Styela clava: one gene and its partner. The protein of the gene in region 1 binds, or shares a complex with, the protein of each later gene. Links are inferred from orthologs where the notes say so. Each region holds a gene or a part of one and is shown in the gene's direction. Other genes may lie near its edges.

Evidence for each region.
Region 2: histone-binding protein RBBP4 (region 1) and inorganic pyrophosphatase-like share a complex: the UniProt entries of both Drosophila melanogaster proteins name them as parts of the NURF complex. The link is inferred for Styela clava from reciprocal best matches to the Drosophila melanogaster genes Caf1-55 and Nurf-38.

What each region holds. Positions count from the first base shown.
Region 1 is NC_135252.1:3,757,414-3,768,927, reverse strand, and holds histone-binding protein RBBP4, read left to right. Parts: upstream 1-6,839; 5' UTR 6,840-6,954; coding exon 6,955-8,052; intron 8,053-8,920; coding exon 8,921-9,100; 3' UTR 9,101-9,496; downstream 9,497-11,514. Other genes in the region: uncharacterized protein LOC144420818, read right to left, coding at 959-1,388. UniProt on the Drosophila melanogaster protein: Core histone-binding subunit that may target chromatin assembly factors, chromatin remodeling factors and histone deacetylases to their histone substrates in a manner that is regulated by nucleosomal DNA.
Region 2 is NC_135256.1:11,802,595-11,812,702, forward strand, and holds inorganic pyrophosphatase-like, read left to right. Parts: upstream 1-6,108; 5' UTR 6,109-6,302; coding exon 6,303-7,253; 3' UTR 7,254-7,558; downstream 7,559-10,108. Other genes in the region: uncharacterized protein LOC120327500, read right to left, coding at 8,218-8,664, 8,949-9,004, 9,103-9,156, 9,320-10,108. UniProt on the Drosophila melanogaster protein: Component of NURF (nucleosome remodeling factor), a complex which catalyzes ATP-dependent nucleosome sliding and facilitates transcription of chromatin.

The sequences.
Region 1 (11,514 bases):
TCTCAAACCATAGATGGCTGAATGATGCTTACTAGGACAAACACGACACATATTGCGGAACCGGCACGAAATAGCTAAATGTCCAGGTTCGAGACAGTTAAAACACAGGCGTGAATCTAGTAGAAATCTTCTTTTCGTGTCATTGGCACTAAACCCGAAGCTATCGCAGTTACTCAAAGAATGAAAACCATTGCAATAGAAACATTGCATTCGCGGTTGGTCGAGCGGCTGATTTGAATGACCCGATAAAGGGTATACCACATTCTTCTTAGGAAATGACTGTCTGCGATCGTCACGATCTATTTTAGTTCTGAAAAGATTTGGTGAAAAAGGATTTCCTAATTCCTCGCATCGTTCCCACAACCACTGCTCGAAGTCCAGTAAACTCGGCATTTCGTCGGCACGAATCATATCAGTCACAAACTTATTCCAACTCGAGGTCAGTTCGGTCGGAATTCGCATTGCTGTCTTTCTAACATTTTCAATACTATACAAATCTGCAAGCAATCGCATTTTCTTCAAATTTATCACAATGTCGCGAACTTCAGAATGAAAATCAGATATTTTCCGGATACTGAATTCTGTTACTCGTCTACCATCTACAACCTTCTCGATAAAGACCCGAGCAATCGTCACCCGTTGGCCGAATATATGTTTCAATTCACTCAACGCGACAATAAATTACTTCCCACCGTCCCTAAGCCATCGACATGTCGTTTAGCCACCCCCGTCAAAGACGCGACTAAGCGAACCATACGCGAACCGTCGTCGTCAAGAGAACTGTGTACATTATCAAAAAATAACTCAATAAAGTTTGGCCATTCTAGGGTCGTTCCGCTAAAACTAGGAATCGTAATCGGTGATAAATGGTACTGGGACAATATTCTAGAATTCAACTGTAATGATAACATAGTTTGTTCCTCTACTGACATATTAAAAGAATTAACAGAAAATTTACCAGACTGGTTAGGTTCCAAGTGGTCAATCCACGCGTCGACTGCTTCTTGTGGTATAAGCATTCTGTTTGCAGGAGACGGGCGTTTGTAAGTTCGTGCTGTCGGGAAGTGCAATTCTTTGGTCTTTTCTGAATTTGTTGTCACTTGACTCTTCGTCGGAACAAAAAAGTTCGCTGCACTTCGTCTGCGTGTTGACTCTAACGGATATTCAATATTGACGCCACGTAAGTTATCTTTAGGCATCTTTTTGGTAGCCAATTCAGTCTTTTCTTGTTCAATTTCACGCATAAGTTCGTCAGCTTGGCGACGTGTTAGATCTGCCATTCGTTCTTTTTCGTTTATGTCTCGACGTTTGTGATCAAGGCGACGCTCTAGTGCTGATATTTTATTGCGAATGGTATCTTCTTCTGTGAGAAAGTCTCGTTTAGCCATACGTACAAGAGAATCGGCTCTTTCTACCTCTCGTTCTTGCTCAAGTTGCAATCGCTTCAGTGATTCAACACTGCATTTGCTTGTATTGGATTCGGCAGACCAATGATCAGAAACGATCTCCTCGTCAAGGTAAGAATAAAATTTCTGCTTTCAATTTGATCGATTTTCGATAACATCATTTGCATTCCAGTTTCATATTTCTTCAAAACATTTGGATTACGGGTAGTCGGAATGAGTTTATCCATCACTTGGTCATAAGCAATTCGTTTAACATGAAGTTTAATTTTAAGATCAGTAACGATAGGATTTTGAGCATTTTCAGTAATCGATTTTGAAAATCTGTCGCACAAACCATTTAGTTCATTTTGTAGTCTTTCGTGGCATAATACATTGCGTCCAATAGTTTCAGAGTTACCGTCGTCTGTTTCCGCGAGAGGAACTGCAGGCGAAGAAGAAGCTTCTCGTCTATTCAAATCTTGTGTAATTGATTCATCTGCTTCGTTCATCGTCGTCGCAGGGAGATTTGTTCAACTTTGTCACTTTTGGGACCCGGAAATGATAAGTCGATTTGCCAGACTCGTTTTATTGAAAGTATTCAAAACGGTTGACTAAAATACAAATGAAATAATTAGCACCAAATAAATCAAAGACAAATGATACAGAATATAAAACTAATACTTACACAAAACAACTCCATATAATAGCATAGTCCCAAAACGACAGATATACAACCAAGGTAAAACAGTAACTATAAATGCAATACAATACGAGCTGTAGACATGCAAATATCATAATGTTATATCGAACGATTCGAAATACAGTATAAAAGGAGACTACTGAATGAATTCAAACTTCAACGCTATAAAGGCGATGTAATCTTAAACTGCCATAACAAGAAATGAAATCCTAAACTGCTACCACCAGAAATGCAATCTTAAACATCTTGCTGAGCTTAGGGGACGATAATAAAATAAATACGTAAAACGATAACACGTGAAAGAGAAAAATGCGACACGTCGAATACGAGAAAACAACACAGTAATGATGACGACGACGAGTTAGCGATAATCATCACGATGACGATGTACAACTGAAGGGATCCTAACTAAACTAAACTTTAGGACCACACGGACTGCCGACACAACCTGCTTCCGACCGCGATTGACTGAAATTTTCAAAATAGCTCGCGATCGACTGATCGGTTGTAATGTCATAAACAAAAATGAACGAGAATATCGGTCAGAGACCGAAGACTTATCGATCGAAAGTTAGGGGATCCCAAAACAGCGCTCTTACTCCATAGTGACACCTTGTGTCCCATTACTAATTAATTAATGACTTGCTAATTATACGGCATAATTTGTCCAAAATCAATGGGCTTCTGGTCCGAGATAAAATGAATGCACATGCAAAATCTGGACCAGATTCAATCTCGCTTCCGTGAGATATCGCGTGCATCTAACAGACATACAGACAGACAAATACCTATCAACATACTTACCGATTAAAATCGACAAGTAATGAATACGAATACGCAGATAACCGCACACACGCATACAAAAATTCCACTACTGCCAATAAGCTCGGCTCCGCGGGCGCATTCTCAATGAAATTGCCACAAAAGTAGGCATTTTTCATATTCCATTCAATTTGTTAATTTTTTGATTATGTAATTGTACCCGGAGTAGAATTTTTATCATTTATTTCAGATTTATTGAAATCATACACTTCAGATCTAGGGCCTGTCTAATTTTCAGTTGTAAGTGTTTTCAATTTCTCCAAAAACCTTGAATGAAAGTGTCCATGTACTATCTAAACAGCGAATAATGAACAATCTCAAACCATAAATGTTCCATGACTGCTCAAACTTCTCTATCTAATTTACAATATTCTTCAAGTCCGATTCTTTGCTCGCTTGGAATTTTGGCAAATTTACTCAACATCAAACGCGATCGACCGGTCTATCGCGATCGGCGTGTTGGCCACCCTTGCAATATATATATATATAGACATATAGTACAACAAAATATTTTTCCCATTCGCATTTTCATGATTTTGCAAATATTAATTTCATGCGCTGACAGAAATAAAAGACTAAAAACGATAAAGACTCGTTACAATTGACCCACAAAATCTTGTTTTAATCATATTTAATGCCGATACACATAATATTTACGAATACGGGATTTAATAAAACTGATTTGTAATAAGTGTGCCGCGACTTTTTAATGTTGTTGTTAGTGTGCCGCAAGCTGAAAAGGTTTGGGAACCCCTGATCTAGTGCATGCTTTTCTTCTTGAGGAATAGAATTACATTTTCTTGGACTTACATTTTCCATTGGTTGTTTTCTAGTCTCTTGTGCCCAATACATTCGATAACGCGGTAATTCCAGAATGCCCATCATGGATGTCCAACTACTCCCAAATATTGTTCGAATTCGTTGTGGTTTGTAGCATCGGAAAATTCTACTTTCTGTACCGAATACAAATTGGTCAGTTCTGCAATGTGATCAATTAAATTATTATTATCAAAAAACTGCTGAAAATATTGTAAACACGTCGATGTCTTTTCTGGCTGAGGAGGTAAAGGTGGCCTTTTGAAGTTACACGCAACTTGTAGTGTAGATCTTGCTCTCCATCGCATTTGAATGTCAGTCATAGATGTTTGATGACGACTTGTTTCTTGATGTTCTACATCTATCTATCTGCTTCTGAACTCAAGGTCATATTTGTCTTAGATGCTGACTGTGTGGAAAATACTTCCCTAGACTCTGACGCTATATATGTGCTAGTTATTGGTGGCATCATTCTGAGCATCTAATATATTCATCATCTGTATTTCTGTCTGAAGCCAGCGATACTTGTTCTGACGAATATAACACACACGAATCATGCCCTGATTTCTGGACTATGTCTTCAACTTCCTTCTCCCTTTCAATTTCTGAATCACTGAACTGAGTGTTTACCATACAGACAACACGGTCATGTATGGCTCCATGAGTTTCAGTAAATCTATTTTTTTTTGTAGGTATAGATATAGACGTAGGTATGGATATACTGTAGATAGATAATTACAGAGGAACCTCATCACCATTTTATTACTCCTCAACATTTTTATTACTCATATGTTTCATTTCTATGTATTATAAATTATCATACTAAACTTGTACTGCAAACATGGCAAAATTCCTAACTGCAGCTAACAACTTTGTGTCCCACTACAAGAACGCTCAAAAATCATAATATTTAATTACATAAGCCCGTCTTGGGCAAATTTATTCAGGGTAATCAATTGAAAAGTGAAACAGTAGGCCCTTCGACGTACCAGCATATATTATTTCTTTCACAAACAAACACGCATTTTTGACAGATCAAGATTTCTTTATTTTTGTCTGATAGGGCTGAATGTTTTATATTAACTTTGGCGAACAGGACCTTAATTCACGAATATATGCCAAAAAGATAGAAGTTGGGATAGAGCAATCTTAATGGGTGGGGACTAGGGGTGCTGCTTTTCATTATTCATGTCCCAGTTGTTTTTCAACCTACGCTTCGCGTGCTATAAAGGTGCGGTGATTCTGAACCACCGCAAATTAGGGCCGAGTTGTCACCTTTTTACAAACCACCTCCAAAATAAAGTACTAAGATAATTTCTCTGGGGTCAAGGGTTGAGGAAACATCCTCCATTCCTGCTTCGCGCTGTTTTTATTTCATTTTTGCCTTGCCTTAAGCATCTGTCCTGATAGGATTTAGGATGTACGGTACGTATTTATCCCGGGCTGCCGGGGAAGAGGAAAGTCAGTAAGACGGCTTAGGCTTAATCAGAGACGAATAGAATGTTCGTTGTATTTAACCAGATGTTGAGACATCTGAGAACTGCAGTGCACCGCTGATATTGTCATCAAACCCTACAAACTGATAAATTAACCATCTAAGTTACCGGTATATTTTTTTGACATTCCCAGAGCCAGAGGTATTACTTATGCGGATAGGCTATGCTTGTTATGAATCGAATTTTACAGAATTGTAGTAATTTTTTTCATGACTTTTATTTGTTTTCAAGTAGGCTATTTGTTCAAGGCTTTTGCATGCCACACAAAAATCTTCTTTGAGCCGCAGTTTGCCCACCCTGATATAGACTAACGGTAAATAGATAAAATCAAGTAACATCTCTAAACCAAAGCTGCGCTGCCACTGTTAGGGCTGTAGGGGGATTTTTTCAGATACCGGTAGTGATTTATCAGATTTCGGGTTTCTTTGCATTAAGTACATCCGTTGATCCACATATCCTTTATCATGTCATATTACTGTATCATCTAGTCTATAGACTACTTACATATTGCAGTACTGAAATAGCACTGTCAGTTTGGTGTTGAAAGTTGAATATTCTATAATCAATATAATATATATAACCCCAATTTTGAATTTTTCTTATAGAAGCACAGATAAAAGGGGTGGAATATTTTATTTACAAGTTACATATTTTCGCAGTTTACGTAAGTGTTTTAGGTATCTAGACTATATATAACGAATGTACGCATACTTTATTTTAGTATTTGTTGCTAATAGCAAGACTAAATTCCTAATTTATTACTTATCGATTTTAATCGGTAAGTATGTTGATAGATATTTGTCTGTCTGTTAGATTCACGCGATATCTCACGAAAGTGAGATTGGATCTGCTGCAGATTTTGCATGTGCATTCATCATATTTCGGACCAGAAGCCTATTGATTTTGGGCGAATTATGTCGTATAATTAGCGAATTATTAATTAATTAGTGATTGGACACAAGGTGTCACTATGGAGCAAGAGCGCTGTTTTGGGGATCCCCTAACTTTCAATCGATAAGTCTTTGGTCTCTGACCGATATTCTCGTTTTGTTATTGCTTAATATGATCTATTTGGATACCTGAAATTGGATGATGCTACAAATCTCTTATCAAACATTCTCAAATGATAATGATGTGACACTGCCATTCTTTGAATTCCTTGGATATCGTGAGCTTCGTTACAATTTAACTACTTTAAAAACATAATTTGAGATACTTTCAGCTTTGTCAGTTGTTGTTATTCACTCAAAGTCATTTTGAATAGTCTATATAATTTTGATGTTTTACTCGACTCGCTGAAATATCAGTAATTTTCAAAGTTTCAAATGCTGATGCAATATTAGTGTTAAATAATCATAGTGTGGTCCTTTACATCTCTATACCGCATATTATAGTTCTTCTTGCACTGTCTTATCATAATCAAATATGGAGCAGGCGAGTTGCCAATGGCGAGTTAGCGCTGTGACAAGTTGCCCTCCACCCTCCCAAAGCTGTATTCTTTGATGAATTGAATTGATCTTGTAAGGAGATAATATTCACTTATTCGGAATAAAATTAGTAGAATTGCTTATTTTTTCAAATTATTGATAAGGACAAAATTCTAGCTCTTGAATTTACTCACGCCAGAATAAAAATCCTATTATGTATGCACAAAAGGTTATACATTACAATAGTTTCTGGTTTACTATAGAGCATTGATCAAATTAGACATTTTAACTCAAAATCGAAGGCTGTTATGGCTGAAAAAGAAACATTTGATGAGGCAGTGGAAGAAAGAGTTATCAATGAAGAATATAAGATATGGAAAAAGAACACACCATTTTTGTATGATCTGGTAATGACACATGCATTAGAATGGCCAAGTCTCACAGTTCAATGGCTTCCTGATGTAGCAAAAGCAGATGGGAAAGACTATGCTGTTCATAAGCTCATTTTGGGGACACATACCTCAGATGAACAAAATCACATGATCATTGCGAGCGTTCAGCTTCCCACAGATGATGCTACATTTGATGCATCTCATTATGATAGTGAAAGAGGGGAATTTGGTGGTTTTGGTTCAGTTAGTGGGAAAATTGAGATAGAAACAAAAATTAACCACGAAGGAGAGGTCAATAGAGCTCGTTACATGCCTCAGAGGCCGTGTATCATCGGCACAAAGACACCAAGTAGCGATGTCCTAGTCTTCGATATCACCAAACATCCACCTAAACCAGATCCATGTGGAGTTTGCAAACCTGATATTCGTTTAAAAGGTCATCAGAAAGAGGGCTATGGCTTATCTTGGAATCCAAATGTAACTGGTCACTTGTTGAGTGCTTCAGATGATCACACTATATGTCTGTGGGACGTGGGTCACAAATTAAAAGAAAATCGTGAGCTCGATGCTAAATCAGTATTTACTGGTCACACTGCTGTAGTAGAAGATGTGTCTTGGCACCTCCTTCATGAAAGTCTATTCGGATCGGTAGCAGATGATCAGAAATTACTTATTTGGGATACAAGGGCACAAAGTACCAATAAACCAAGTCATATCGTTGAGGCTCACACTGCCGAAGTGAATTGTTTATCATTCAACCCCTTCAGTGAATTTATTCTTGCCACTGGTTCAGCTGATAAAACTGTTGCATTGTGGGATTTGAGAAATCTTAAGCTCAAGCTTCATTCATTTGAATCACACAAGGATGAAATATTCCAAGTTCAATGGTCACCACATAATGAAACTATCCTGGCATCAAGTGGAACTGATCGCAGACTCAATGTCTGGGATCTAAGTAAGATTGGCGAAGAACAGTCCGCAGAAGACGCGGAGGATGGTCCTCCAGAACTACTGGTATGTACTTTTTTATCACTCTGTTAATTTTTTTTGTTCAGTAGTTGATCACATCAGTTTAACCAAGAATAAATTATACAATAAAAGTGCCATAGCTAGATATGTAGTATCTGCTCCTGTGCAAAGTGGAATTGAATTTTGGAATGCATTGTACAATATTTTGAGCTGTAGTAATATATTTGCTCAATATTTCTTATTTAAAAATATCCAAATATTGTTAAATATACTAAAAGTATATATGATAGGTAGAACAAAATTATGAGATGTTTCCAGTGTGACAGTGTTCCAAAAAACAGAACCCAGATCTTTTGGAACATACTTTTGCCCAAAGCATCCCAGATCACTGAAACTTTTGGGTACAATTATACACAAACAGAAGTTGAAGTGTTAAATAAGTTTTCTTCATTTTCATAGTAATTAAGAAATTTATGAGCTCTGTTATTTTTTGGATCACCCTGTATGTAAATAAAAGGTGGGCTTTGTTTACCTACAGTTTAATGAGGCCAAAATAATATGCCCAAATTAATTTGCCTGTTTATTATTATCATTTCCATCCATATACAAATATTTCAGGTAAAAATTTCATTTAAAGTATAAGCTATGACTTTTGCCAATTGATTTCTGTGTGTCATGCAAATTGCTCATTTTTACTAATTATTTATGCCAGGCGATTGTCAGCCGTCTGTTACTGCTCAGAGAAATATAATATAGTTTTGTATCTACTTTCAATCACATAAGTAATTGGTCACTGAAGTATAGCAGTAATGTCACAGAAAATGCTTGGAATGCATTTTTATTTTTAATTTCATGTTGTTATTTGCTGAATTTTTTCAAAAAATTAATTAGAAATTACCGTATGTTTTGTCAGTTCATTCATGGTGGCCACACAGCCAAGATCTCCGATTTTTCCTGGAACTCAAAAGAACCATGGGTAATATGTTCTGTGTCAGAGGATAACATCATGCAGGTGTGGCAGATGGCTGAAAACATATACAACGATGAAGAACAAGAACCTGGATGCTCCGATTTAGAGCAGACAGCGGGTTGATTCAGCCGAATGTGTACTTTGCAGATGGCTCCAGAACTCGTAATGCATCAAAGGCAAATATAGTGATAATAGCCTTCCATGCTTCTTCAACCAAATCAACAATGGCACTCCAATAGGCAAGGAAGCCAATTTTCAACAGAATGATTTGCTTGCTTGCTGTATGTATTCAGAGCAATACTCATCACTCGTGATAGCCCAATGCTGCTTATCAAACTAAAGTAATGAAACAACCCATGCAAAACAATGTTTCCGCATTTAACATTTGATGCCTGCTTATTTCAGCCAATTTCTGTGTAGACAATAACATGCTTATCCAGTGATTGTGTCTGTAATGTTAGATTTTTGCCAAATAACAACTGTATTTTGTTCTCAAATACATGTTTCTAAACACATAAAGCATTTACTGTTAAGTTAAATAGTTTTGAATCTCAGTGGTCTGGATTATATCTGCAGGATTGTTAGGCTACTCATGCCAGCCTTTTCTCCACCAACCAAAATTCAGTCTCGATGTAGAGCAATATAATGTGAAAAAAAAACGCGTGAAATTATTTTTGACAAGGAAAAAATTATAAGCCCTGCTGTTTATTTTGACGATGACTTCACACTTGTAGCTCTATTAGACACGGAGAAACTCAACGCCAATGAATAACATTGTTGTGCAATATATGAAGGTCTGCAGTTTTATGAATTTTTAACTCTCCACCGCCGCGAAATACTTTAAATGTTGTTTTACTGACGATCATGGCGATAAAATGCAATAAATTGGAACGACGACTGTGCGAATCCATTCTTCGGAATAACGACTTCCCAGTTATAAATAACCCTTTTTGGGCAAATTAAAATCCATTGTCAATTTGGACTTATGAACTTGATTATTTTTGGTATATTCAAATAAAGATATATATATTACGTCGATATGGTTAAATAAACCAAATCCAAATTTCCTGTAAATTTAGATATTTGTTATAATACGACGGAATACAATATTTTATAAACAAATGTAAAAGCTACAGATCCACAAGCAGTCGTTATTTATAACTATGCAAGTTGGCCATTGTTTTCGTTAACGTTTAAAAATGCTGAACCGTTATTCGGAGCCATTATCGCACTATCGATTCTCTGCCTTTTACTAGCCCTGATCGAAGATAAATTGTACGATCACTCGGATCGACGTCATCAAGAATATCTGACTACCACCAGCGGTGGCTCGACAGCCCTGCCCACTCTCTTCTTGACTTTGTGGAGGCGAAGCGCTATGGTACTTGTACATTGTTCCAATTGTCCCGTCGAATGGTCTTGGTGATTGTGACGGGTTCCTATCTCGGCCTGACTCTGCCATATTTTGTGTGTTGCTGTCTGGCAAGTTACTTTCCGTTTGTTATATTTTGAACGCTGATCTTCATTTTGTTTCGCTAGCACTGGGCAATAATGATGCCTATTTTTGATCAATAATTGCTAGATGTGTTGAGTGAATTTCCCGGATTTATTGCACATGCTATGTGGACGTCTGGCGTGGTTTGCAGCCAGAACAACTTTTTATATTTATCCTCCAGCATTATTTGCTGGGTCATTCATCCACAACTTAGTTATCTACTCTTTCTAATTTTGACAAACAGCGAAAGTAAAAAATTGAAATGCGTAAAATTTCGAATGGGGTTCAGTGCACAAGTAATTGGACTCAAAAAATATAAATACTATTGAAGAAAAGACCCGTTCAAGAAATATAAATACTATTGAATACATATTTTATTAAAGGTTGTCATTAATGAACCTACCACAATATATTTGCCAAAATAACATATGTACACACAGTATTAAAGACAGCGGGAGCATTGTTATGCAAGGTAATTAGAAGCTTCTATTAGTCATTAGTGGGATTACAAACATTCGATATATTCTCTTAATTTACATTATATATCGTGATTATGCAGATCTTGTTGAATTGCAGGAATATTGAATAAAAAACAAAATGATTGGTTTCCGATACTTTACCGGATAACCCTATACAAATCAGCAAATTGGGAACCGTAGCAGAGTTACCAAGATAATAACGAGAATATCGGTCGGAGACTGAAGGCTTATCGATCGAAACTGCGGTTTCGATTAGTTCTGTATTTTAAGTTTCCAAAATATTGATCAAGTAGTAGATTGCTTTTGACCTTTTTTTCGAAGATAATTCGCGGTTTATTATCTTCCATAATATCGGAGCGTATTCCTCATTTTTTAATGTGCCAATTTCAGAAAAATTATCGATAAGATCGACAAAGTGGCCGTCCTTGTCGTTTTTCACTTTCTCAGATATTTCAATCACAGATTTTTGAACTGCAGACACAGCGGAAAAAACACTGGCATCAAGATTTTGTGACATCAATTCCATCACTATGGACAATCTGCGAACACAAACTTCGTCATAT
Region 2 (10,108 bases), on another chromosome or scaffold:
TCTCTTTTACTGGATTATGTTGCCTTCTACCTGTCAACTTCATCCCCCATTTTTTCATCCGCCTGAACCAAGCATCTGTTTCATTAAATACAAGTACAGCCAAGAGAACAATTACTAACATGGATTTTACACCCATGACTATTACACACTAATAAATATAAATTGTGTTTTTTGCTTTTTATTTCAAATCATTAGCTATCAATTGTAAATATTGAAAATTCGATATATTGGGCACATTTACTGCAAGAGTGTGGGGAATCAATGTCATAAGGGAAGGTGGGGCACGTTGGGACATGAGGCACAATGGAAAATCAGCTCTCACACACTAATACTATATTCGGAATACGGTCCGCGGTTTGATGTTTCAATCCGCCCTTCGATGAGTTACAACGTCCCCGCAAACGGACAGCGGACGGGTAGAGCGACGCAAGCTATGAGGTAAAATTGGTTTTGGGAGGTCGAAACTGAAATTTAACCGTTCCAGTTTTTTCTTTTTTCTAACTTAGCCTTTTCAACGTGACAAACCACCGTCTGATATCTTTCAGCTATAGTCCACTGTGAAATATTTATAACGTTGGCGAGTGGATGTGCCTTCCGAATTTCTCCGTGGGATGATCTGAAGATATTTGTTTATTATGGGGAACAATGGACCGGGGTTCAGTGGGACATACCCTACATGGCACAATTCGACAGTGTTTGATACAACAAGTGCTTAGAGACCTAGAGATGCGTTATATTTCTATGTAACATTATGGTATCTTTCGACTCATGGTCCAATATGAAATATATTCGAGAATCAAAAATATTTCCAGATTTAGATTCGGATTAGAAAATAATTTAAGTTGTATGCGAATTTTTTGGTGAAATTTCTGAAATATTCTGGTTGAACATTGATTTTAAAAATCTTAAATCTTCAAATTTGAGGTCTTCCTGTTCTTTAGACGATTATGCTGATTAATTGCTTATTTTTAGGGCATACTTTGTTGAATTTTGACAGAATGACCCATTGTGCCCCAGGGTCTGTCCGAATGTGCCCCACAAGTCGGGTACAGTGGGACACTTGACAAACGTTTTTCAAAGCATTTTGGTGGTAAGATGTGTGTCGCAAGGGAATTTCTTAGTCGCTGAATAAAAACTACATTTACCCCTCTCTGCATCAATCCCGCAAAGGTATATGAATGTGCAGAATAAAGGGCTCCAAATATGCAAACGAAAAAAAGTGTCCCAACCTTCCCCACTTTCCCCTACATTAGATTTATGCTTCATTTCACATTTTAGACGACGCAACTAACCACTTGTTTGAAGATGAAGAGCAATTAGCACAACATACTATAGCGAATAAAACAACTTAGAATGGCATCATGATTTTATTTTTATTTTATTGAATTTGTTTTAATCAGAATATATATATACAGTAAAGTATTCATTTGATCTAAGTGAAATTCAATATACCGTGTTCTCATTTTCAAGTCGAATCTGCAAACTGTACAGTTAGTTGCCTGTCATTCTAATCGGTATGATCCACAATATAATATCGACTTTCAAGTTTAGGTTGAGTATCCCTTAACAAGTAGATGAATATCCCGTTAGGTCATGCCCAGGTCGAAATCCTGCGAGATTGAGGTATTTAGATCATTTTGGAACCTAAGCAAAAACATGCGCTACAGTCGGAGGTTGGCACTCTTGACTTTCCAAATAAGAAATGAAGCTATCCACTACCTAATAGGCATCTGAAACTTGAAAGCTTCAAGTATAATACTCTATTGACATTGACAACTTCAGCCAATCCCGGATTCCAGCACATGATCTAAAAAAAAAATTCTGATGCTTATTCTATGTATAAAATGGTTAGGTAGGCCTTAGAATGTTATCGAGTTACGCAAACCCAATAACGTATACGAACATAATATAAACTGTCATTGATAAAAAAGGCGAAAATGAAAAATTTGTTCATCACATACAGACTATTGAAACTGTACGCTGGACTACTCAGTAAGAAGAAAATTAATACACGTCTGCACTTGCTTTTCAAAAAATCAAATTAGGGCAGGGTAAAATACAATTTGCAGAATTTAGACTAGTTTATGTCTGTCAGTTGAACTGCAATGTAGTAGCACAAATTGATAGAAGTTTAATGAACACTTTTCTGATGTGGCAACAAGTTTCACAACCATGACAAATCCACCTCTCATATCTCAGAAAACATTCCACCATGTTTTTAGTCGACAGCTTAGAACGGATTTTCATATCAGGTCGAAAGAAAGGGTAATGAGAAGACTTTATCTGATAAAGGCCTACGTTTCCCCATCTGGTTACCAGTCCATGTCGAACATAAGCAGTGGTGTGTCAAACTTTCGCGCTACTCGGGGCGAGATTCTGATAATGCTGCCCCTTAAAAGTTATACCTCGGGTTACCATATTTTTTGGACTTCAAAGCGGGACGCCTCCAAAGACACGACCTCTTAGCTGTGATCCTGTAACTTTACAGTTTCCGATTTTACTACATAGGCCTACATTTTAAGGCCATCCCGGCTGTCTTCATTGACCATATTGTCATCGAGAATTCATGCGCATATTCTATATCGGATTCAGTTCGAAAAATAGAAAGGATTAGACGCTAACGATACAAATGATCCGAATTTAGATTTTTCTATGTACAGCAAAAGGAATAAAGCATAATGAAATAGTCTGCCGTTTTCAAGCATTGGGAATTTACTTATTCACTAAGCATGCTTTTCTGTAGATAACACTTTCTCAAGAAGACGTTGCTCAATGTTATATTCACGTGAACGTTCGAACAGGACCAATTGGAATTGATTTTACATGTGATACGTTCGCTAACATAACGGAACAAATAAAATAACGCATTCACCTTCAGTAAGTAGACTAGCGTTGCGCTACACGGCAACAACAGTAACGAGAACATGTTCGTGTATTATGCTGGATGGCAGAACGCAAAAGCGGGACTTTTGGTTGACTTGTCGGGACGGCGGGACAAGACGCTAAAAAGCGGGACTGTCGCGCCTAAAGCGGGACGTATGGTAAGCCTAGTTATACCTAACTTCAAAAATAATTATTATAGATGTTGTTATACACGAGAATAAATATATAAGTTAAAGGCCAAGTGAGAGAAAAATGCTTGTAATAGTATCATTTAAATGCCAAGTGAGAGAAAAATGCTTGTAATAGTATCATTTAAATCAGGGGTGTGCAAAGTGCGGCCCGCGAGGGAAAATTGTGCGGCCCGCGGAGTAATGCCAATTTTGAATGGTGTGCGGCCAGCTAAACTAGTTTTTATATTAGTTTGATATGGTGTCCTTTGCGTTGCAAAGCCTATATTCGAGTCCAATTTATTATCTATGCCTATGACGTTACAACGTCCAAACAGCGAAGCAGACAACGCGATGCAGCGAACAATTTAAAGGAAAATGCGGAGAAGACCCTAATGAATTTGTATGAACGGGCAATTGAAGATTAGGCAAATGGAAAGCAGTTTGAAAAAATTTAATATTAAGAGATACAAAAGCAAAATGAGTTTTGTTTCCAGTTTATCAGTTGATTTTGTTCAAATCTAAAACTAGAATAAGATTTAACAGCAAATTATTTGGAAATGAATCTTGGCGTATTTTACCGAAAACATCTCAACCAAGATAACTTTGCAAATTTGAAAAAAGTCATGGCTTCAAATATGGCACTTTTCGGCTACATATTTTATTCTAAAATGGGCGTCATATCGAATTGCCCGCACTTCCATTAAAGCAAATTTGGATAAAACTAGTCCGGAAAAGAATCCAGCAGCAAATTTCTCACTGAATTCGTCAACATTGGGTGTGACAATATATTTGAATTACAGTTTTAAGAAATTTATGCGTTTCAACCTATCATTTCTGTATGGACCCTAATGATGACGACATGAGATCAATAACAAAAAAGACACTATTTTGTGCCTGCAACTAATAGAAAGCATATGTTAAATGAAGGTGCGGCCCGCGGGTTTACCCAGTTATTGATATTTGGCCCGCCTGTAAAAAAGATTCCCCACCCCTGATTTAAATCATCAAACTGAGCAACAAACTCACTCCTATAACGTGCTGCTCGGGTCGGTTTCCCCTTTGCCCCCTCCCGACACGCCACTGACCATAAGACTTTTAACCAGTTACTTTTTCAGGACGCATGTACTTTTATATAGTGGATGTCAAATAACCATCCAGAAATCCTCTTGTATAATATTTCCATTAGATGTATTCGTTTTTGCAAACTCAAGGTTAATTTGACAAACTGTAGAACTTATGTCAGGAGTAGTTAGCCGACCCATAAGTATTGGCAAGCGTCTTGTAATATCTGCAGATTACAATTTTACATTGCAATAAACGTTACATTGCATAACCGTTTTCAATATTGATAACTACAAAAACGAAATAGGCTGGATGTAAGAAACACGTTACGTGCGTCCATGTCGACCATATCTCGAATATGTGAACAATTAATGGCCATCAAACAAATAAAGATATCTCATTAAATAGCATCGCGTCGTTTTTAGTACATTGTCAACCTAAATTCACTAATGCGTATAATGTATTGCATAGGCTTAGTTCGTTTGTATAAAGGTGGTCCGCCAAATGTTTGGTCATGCTTTACCGGTCCGTCACTTGAAAAAGGTTGCCGACCACTGTGTTGAAGGAACACACGGATAATATTCAGTATATGCTTGTACAGAAATCAGTTTATAGCATATAATTTCGAATAAATACTTTTCATATCTCAAAAGTTGCTTGTTCGGGCCTATTTCAGAGAGAAGTTTTGAATAAACACCATCATGCTTTTGTACCGTAGAGTAGTGTTCCGCAACCGGTGTGCCGCGAGACGATGCCAGGTGTGCCGCACAGGAATTGCAACTTTTCTCTTCTTTTTCAATTTATTTTTATCTTTTGTTAATTTTACGTCAGTCTACTTCTCTACTAAAATGAACTTGCTTTTACGTTAGCTTGAGCGACACCAAATCAAATTCCTGACTTCCCCACTATACATTTGTGACGTAACGAGGAGTACCCCTATATGTCAAGTAGATTGCAATCATTGTCGAGGGTAAAACATAGCGCGTGTAGTAATCGAATATAAATAAACCTGAAATGTGAGTTTGCAGAATCATTGCCCATAGTGGTCTTTGATTAAAAAAGTCAAGGAACGTTAAAGTTTAGCAAAATGGATAAATTTTTAAAAAGAACATCCAAAACATCTGATACTGAGCAACATATTGTACCTAGCACAAGCAACGTTATAAAAAAAACTTATCAAAAGGAAATACAGGGAAGATTACATAAACTATGGATTTTCTTGCTGTGGTAACGGAGATGCTCCAAATTCAGTCTGCGTTATTTGTGGGGAGCAACTTTCAAATTAGGCAATGGCTCCGAGTAAACTGATGCGCCACTTAAATACAAATCACGGTTTCGTGTGAAATTTGGCGAAAAAGCACTCAAATCTAATGGAGCAAAGATATGACAAGTACTGGTACTTTTTCGCAATTACCAATGAGCGATACGACTGGATCCGAAATCCTTTATCAACTAGTGCTGAAATGTCAACAAAAGAATTACCCCTGCGTATTCGAGAAAATTTCTTTGAAGTAAGAAATGACAGAACGTTAAGACTCAAATTCAGTGAAATTCCACTCGATGTGTTTTGGATTTCAATAAAAAGAAGACTATAAGCGCACATTTCCAATGCAGCTATTGAAGTATTGCTCCATTTTTGCATAACTTATATGTGCGAACAAAGCTTTTCCTTTTTATTACTGATCAAAAACGATGAACGATCCTACATAAATGATGTTGACGGCGAACTTCGAGTTGCTCTTTCACGTATTGATCCTAATATAGAGCGATTGTGCTCTATATACAACCACAAATTTCTCATTGAAATATGAACATACAAAGTTACACTTTTTTTTTTGTTTGTTGTGGTGTGCCGTCGAATTTGGTAAGTTTTATAAGTGTGCCGCAAGGTAAAAAAGGTTGCGGAGCACTGGCGTAGAGCGACAGACGACACTGATGTACAATAGATGTTTAGTTTGAGCTCTGCACGGACTTTGCTCGAGTAACTGGTACATCAAGTTTGATTGAGTCATTCACACCGTTTGCGGCGCCGGCCACGTTTTCGTTGCGGCCGCGTCTCTAAATCGCGGAATTGTCTTTGATTGTTTAGTGGAGGGCGGGGTGATCACTTTTTGTTTGTCAAGGCATAAGTTACGGTAAATCTGCGTAGCAGGCTTTTTATAATAATATACGACTGTACACCGGTCTATGTTGTCTTTCGTGCATAGAGGATTTTGCCGAGTAATTTCGAATAATTCACCCAATATATCAAGAATCATGTCTTATGTCGCTGAAGAAAGAGGGCGTCCAAACACGCTTGATTATAGAATATACTATAAAAACAGCGAGGGGCAATACATCTCCCCTTTGCATGACATTCCATGGCTGGTTTCGGAAAGCCCACGAGTGTACAATATGGTCTGTGAGGTTCCAAGATGGACGAACAGCAAGATGGAAATTGCAACAAAAGAGAGTCTAAATCCAATTAAACAAGATGTGAAAAAGGGGAAACTCCGATATGTTGCTAATTGCTTTCCACACAGAGGATATATTTGGAATTATGGAGCAATTCCACAGACTTGGGAAAACCCAGGACACAAAGACAAGAATACAGGTCAGTGTGGTGACAATGACCCAATTGATGTTTGTGAAATTGGATCAAAAATCTGCAAGCGTGGTGAAGTTATTCAAGTAAAGGTTGTTGGTGTTCTTGCCATGATTGATGAAGGAGAAACTGACTGGAAAGTGATAGGAATCAACGTTAACGATGAAGACGCTCCAAAAATAAATTCAATTGGAGATGTTGAGAAGATGAAACCTGGATACTTGGATGCCACTCGTGAATGGTTTAAAATTTACAAGATACCAGATGGAAAACCAGCGAACTGTTTTGCATTTAATGGAGATTATAAAGACCGTGAATTCGCTGAAGAAACAATTGCTGAAACTCATAGGTTCTGGGTTGAAAGTCATTCCGGAACCTTGAAATGTGATTTTGCAATGGAAAACATTTGCTGCAGTGACAGCAAATTCAAAATTGATGGTAAAGCCGCAACTAAAATCCTAGAAGCTGCACCGGCACTTGACGAAGCAGAAGAGGTTACTGATGAAAAAGCTGAGAAGTGGTACTACACCAGTTTGCTTCAAGGTCAACTTTAATTAGCCAAAGAAATTTACTTTCTGCGTGGAACTGCTGCTACTATCTATGATTAAGCAATTTATGGAAGTTGTAGAACAAGGCCAGGTGCACGCTAAATAATTCAATATCTACGCAATGCACTTTTTACCTTTTGTTCAATTCATGAAAAACGAAGTCTGGTAAATACAGATATCTCGCTTTGGTGATTGTCATATTATTTGTTAAAATCGAAAGTTCATCTTTATATTTTTGATTTCTGTATGTCGGATTCTTGTAGACAAATTGGAACATGTGTTTCTGTTTTGAATAAAAGTAATTAAAGCAATCCAAGAGTTTGCTATTCCTTGATAAGCTATCGGAACTCGACCACCTTTGGACGACTGCTTGACTTACACAGGCTTGTGCAACCCTAACCCATTCTTTATAGTTAAATTTTTTTTAACTTGCTCGAACATGTTTCATGACATTCCTGTCAGGGTGTGTAAAAACACCTGATTGGAATGCACCCAGTCAAGACAAAAACCCTGGTCTAATAGTTGGGTCTTTACGTGATGATTTCCCAATAGTATAAAAGCCTCGGGTGTTTGCAAAAAGATGTATAGTATTAGGTGCCCACATCAGAGTGAATACTATTCGATACACTTTCACTGCTTCGATCCATAACACGCGATTCTATTACATTTCATCCCTTTTGCCACTGCTTTGATGGACCTTACAAGCCTCGGGTGTTTGCAAAAAGATGTATAGTATTAGGTGCCCACATCAGAGTGAATACTATTCGATACACTTTCACTGCTTCGATCCATAACACGCGATTCTATTACATTTCATCCCTTTTGCCACTGCTTTGATGGACCTTACTTACTATGCTATCACAATATTGTATAGATGCCATTGCCCTAAAGGACAGTGTATTGGCGCTTTATCTACACTCATAAATACATTTTTCATGAACAAACACACCCTTTATATTATTAACTTAGTTTAGTCCAATGCTATAGACTTCATTTTATGAATGTCAATGTAGTTTATTTTCCCTTTTGCTGGATCTTCTTCAAATCCCAAGCCTTTTGCTGCATTGCCCTCTTTTCTTTTTTGTAAATTAAATGAAAGTGTCTGGTTATATTGGGTCTCAAGGTTATTAGCAAGTTTTTTAGATTCATTTTCATCTGGGGCCATTGTCGAAAATGTTTTGTTATTGTTTTGTAATGTACCCCAAAGTTTCCTTCCTTGTGGTGGTTTCCAAACTCCAGTTAATTTACTGAGCAAGCTTTGACAATTTGTTTGAGTTAATGAGGTTTCTGCTGAATCTTTGGATTTAGCACAACCAAGTAATCTGGCAAATTTATCCTGCTGAGCAGATGATGCTAGTTTGGCCGTCTTCCATTGTCCAAGCTTATCAGTATCTAGATGTTCTTCACCTGTGACAATCTGCAGAGACATGACAATATTTTTACATTTGATATTATTAGGTCTGAAAACTAAAGGTTCTCATCTTTTATCAGGGAGAAGGTGGTATAATATGGGGATAAGATAATTATAAGTGGTATTGCAGTTTCCAAGTGCAAGCCAATAACATAGAATTGGTCGTCATTTTCATTATTTTGATTTGTCACAGCAGCTTTCTTAATGAATATTGATACACAATTTTCTCTGATATTTGCAAAGATATATCTGTAAGATAGAAGGTCAAGAAAAGCTAATGTGATACATACTTGGTGCTGACCATCTTTTTTCGGTTTGTCAAGAACATCATTTCCAGAAATATGACCTAAAATAATGAAGTATTTTATTGTATACCAACGTTAAAAATGCCTAACACTATATGTTCGTTAGGCAAATACTTGAAAAAAAACTTAGTCAATTTACCATATTTTGATTTCTTCTTCTTATGATTCACATCATTTTCAACAGAAGATGAATCTATTTTAAAATAGTTTTATCAAACTTATTCTCCTGAAAATTATTTAGTTAAAAAATGATAATGACTGGATATTTTATATTGCCACTGACAACAGGATAGAATTTTTTCATATCACAAATACTTAAATATATTCTTAATAAACAATCATTTTTAATCACTTACCTTTCATGTTCGCAACAACTGATGCTTCAGATGATGTTATTTCTTTGTGCATAGCTTTTTTCCGTTTCTTTTTCTTAACTGGAAAATCAGCTGAAGTATCATCTTGCGTGATTGCACTGCTTTTTCTTTTACGCTTGTTATTTTTCAGTTCATCGCTTACTGATATATTTGATTCATTTTGCGGGGACGTACTCTTACTGTCCAGCTCTTCCATCCCAGTTTTACTGGCAAGAGTTTCATTCACACCCAAAATAATTAGGTTGCTTGAGGTATTTTCTACGTCCTTTTTATTTTTCTTCTTTTTCCTCCGTTTTGTTGTATTTTCTAATGTTATAGATGTTGAAGTGTTTTTTGTTTCCTTTAATTTTGACTTTTTCTTGTCATTGAAACTCTCATTGACAGTAACAATCTTTTTACTTTTCTTCCTCTTCTTATTTTCAACAGTCTTTTCAACTTCAGTTGTAACGATGCCTATATCATTCCCCTCATTTAAGTTCTTTTTTGTTTTTTTCTTCTTTTTGACAGGCTTTTTCTCTATAGCAATTTCAGCATAAGGTATGTTACTATCCATGGCTGTGTTATTGACTCCAATTATATCAATTTCTACACCATTCTCCATTTCTTTTAACTTTCTTTTACTTTTTTTTTTCTTTTTGATGGATTTCTTAATGGAAATTTCAGCCTCAGTCATTTTACCATCAAGGGTAGTAGTTTTCTCATTATTATTCGCATTGGTTTCCACTTCCATTATGTCATTTTCTACATCTTTCAATTTCTTTTTTTCCCTCT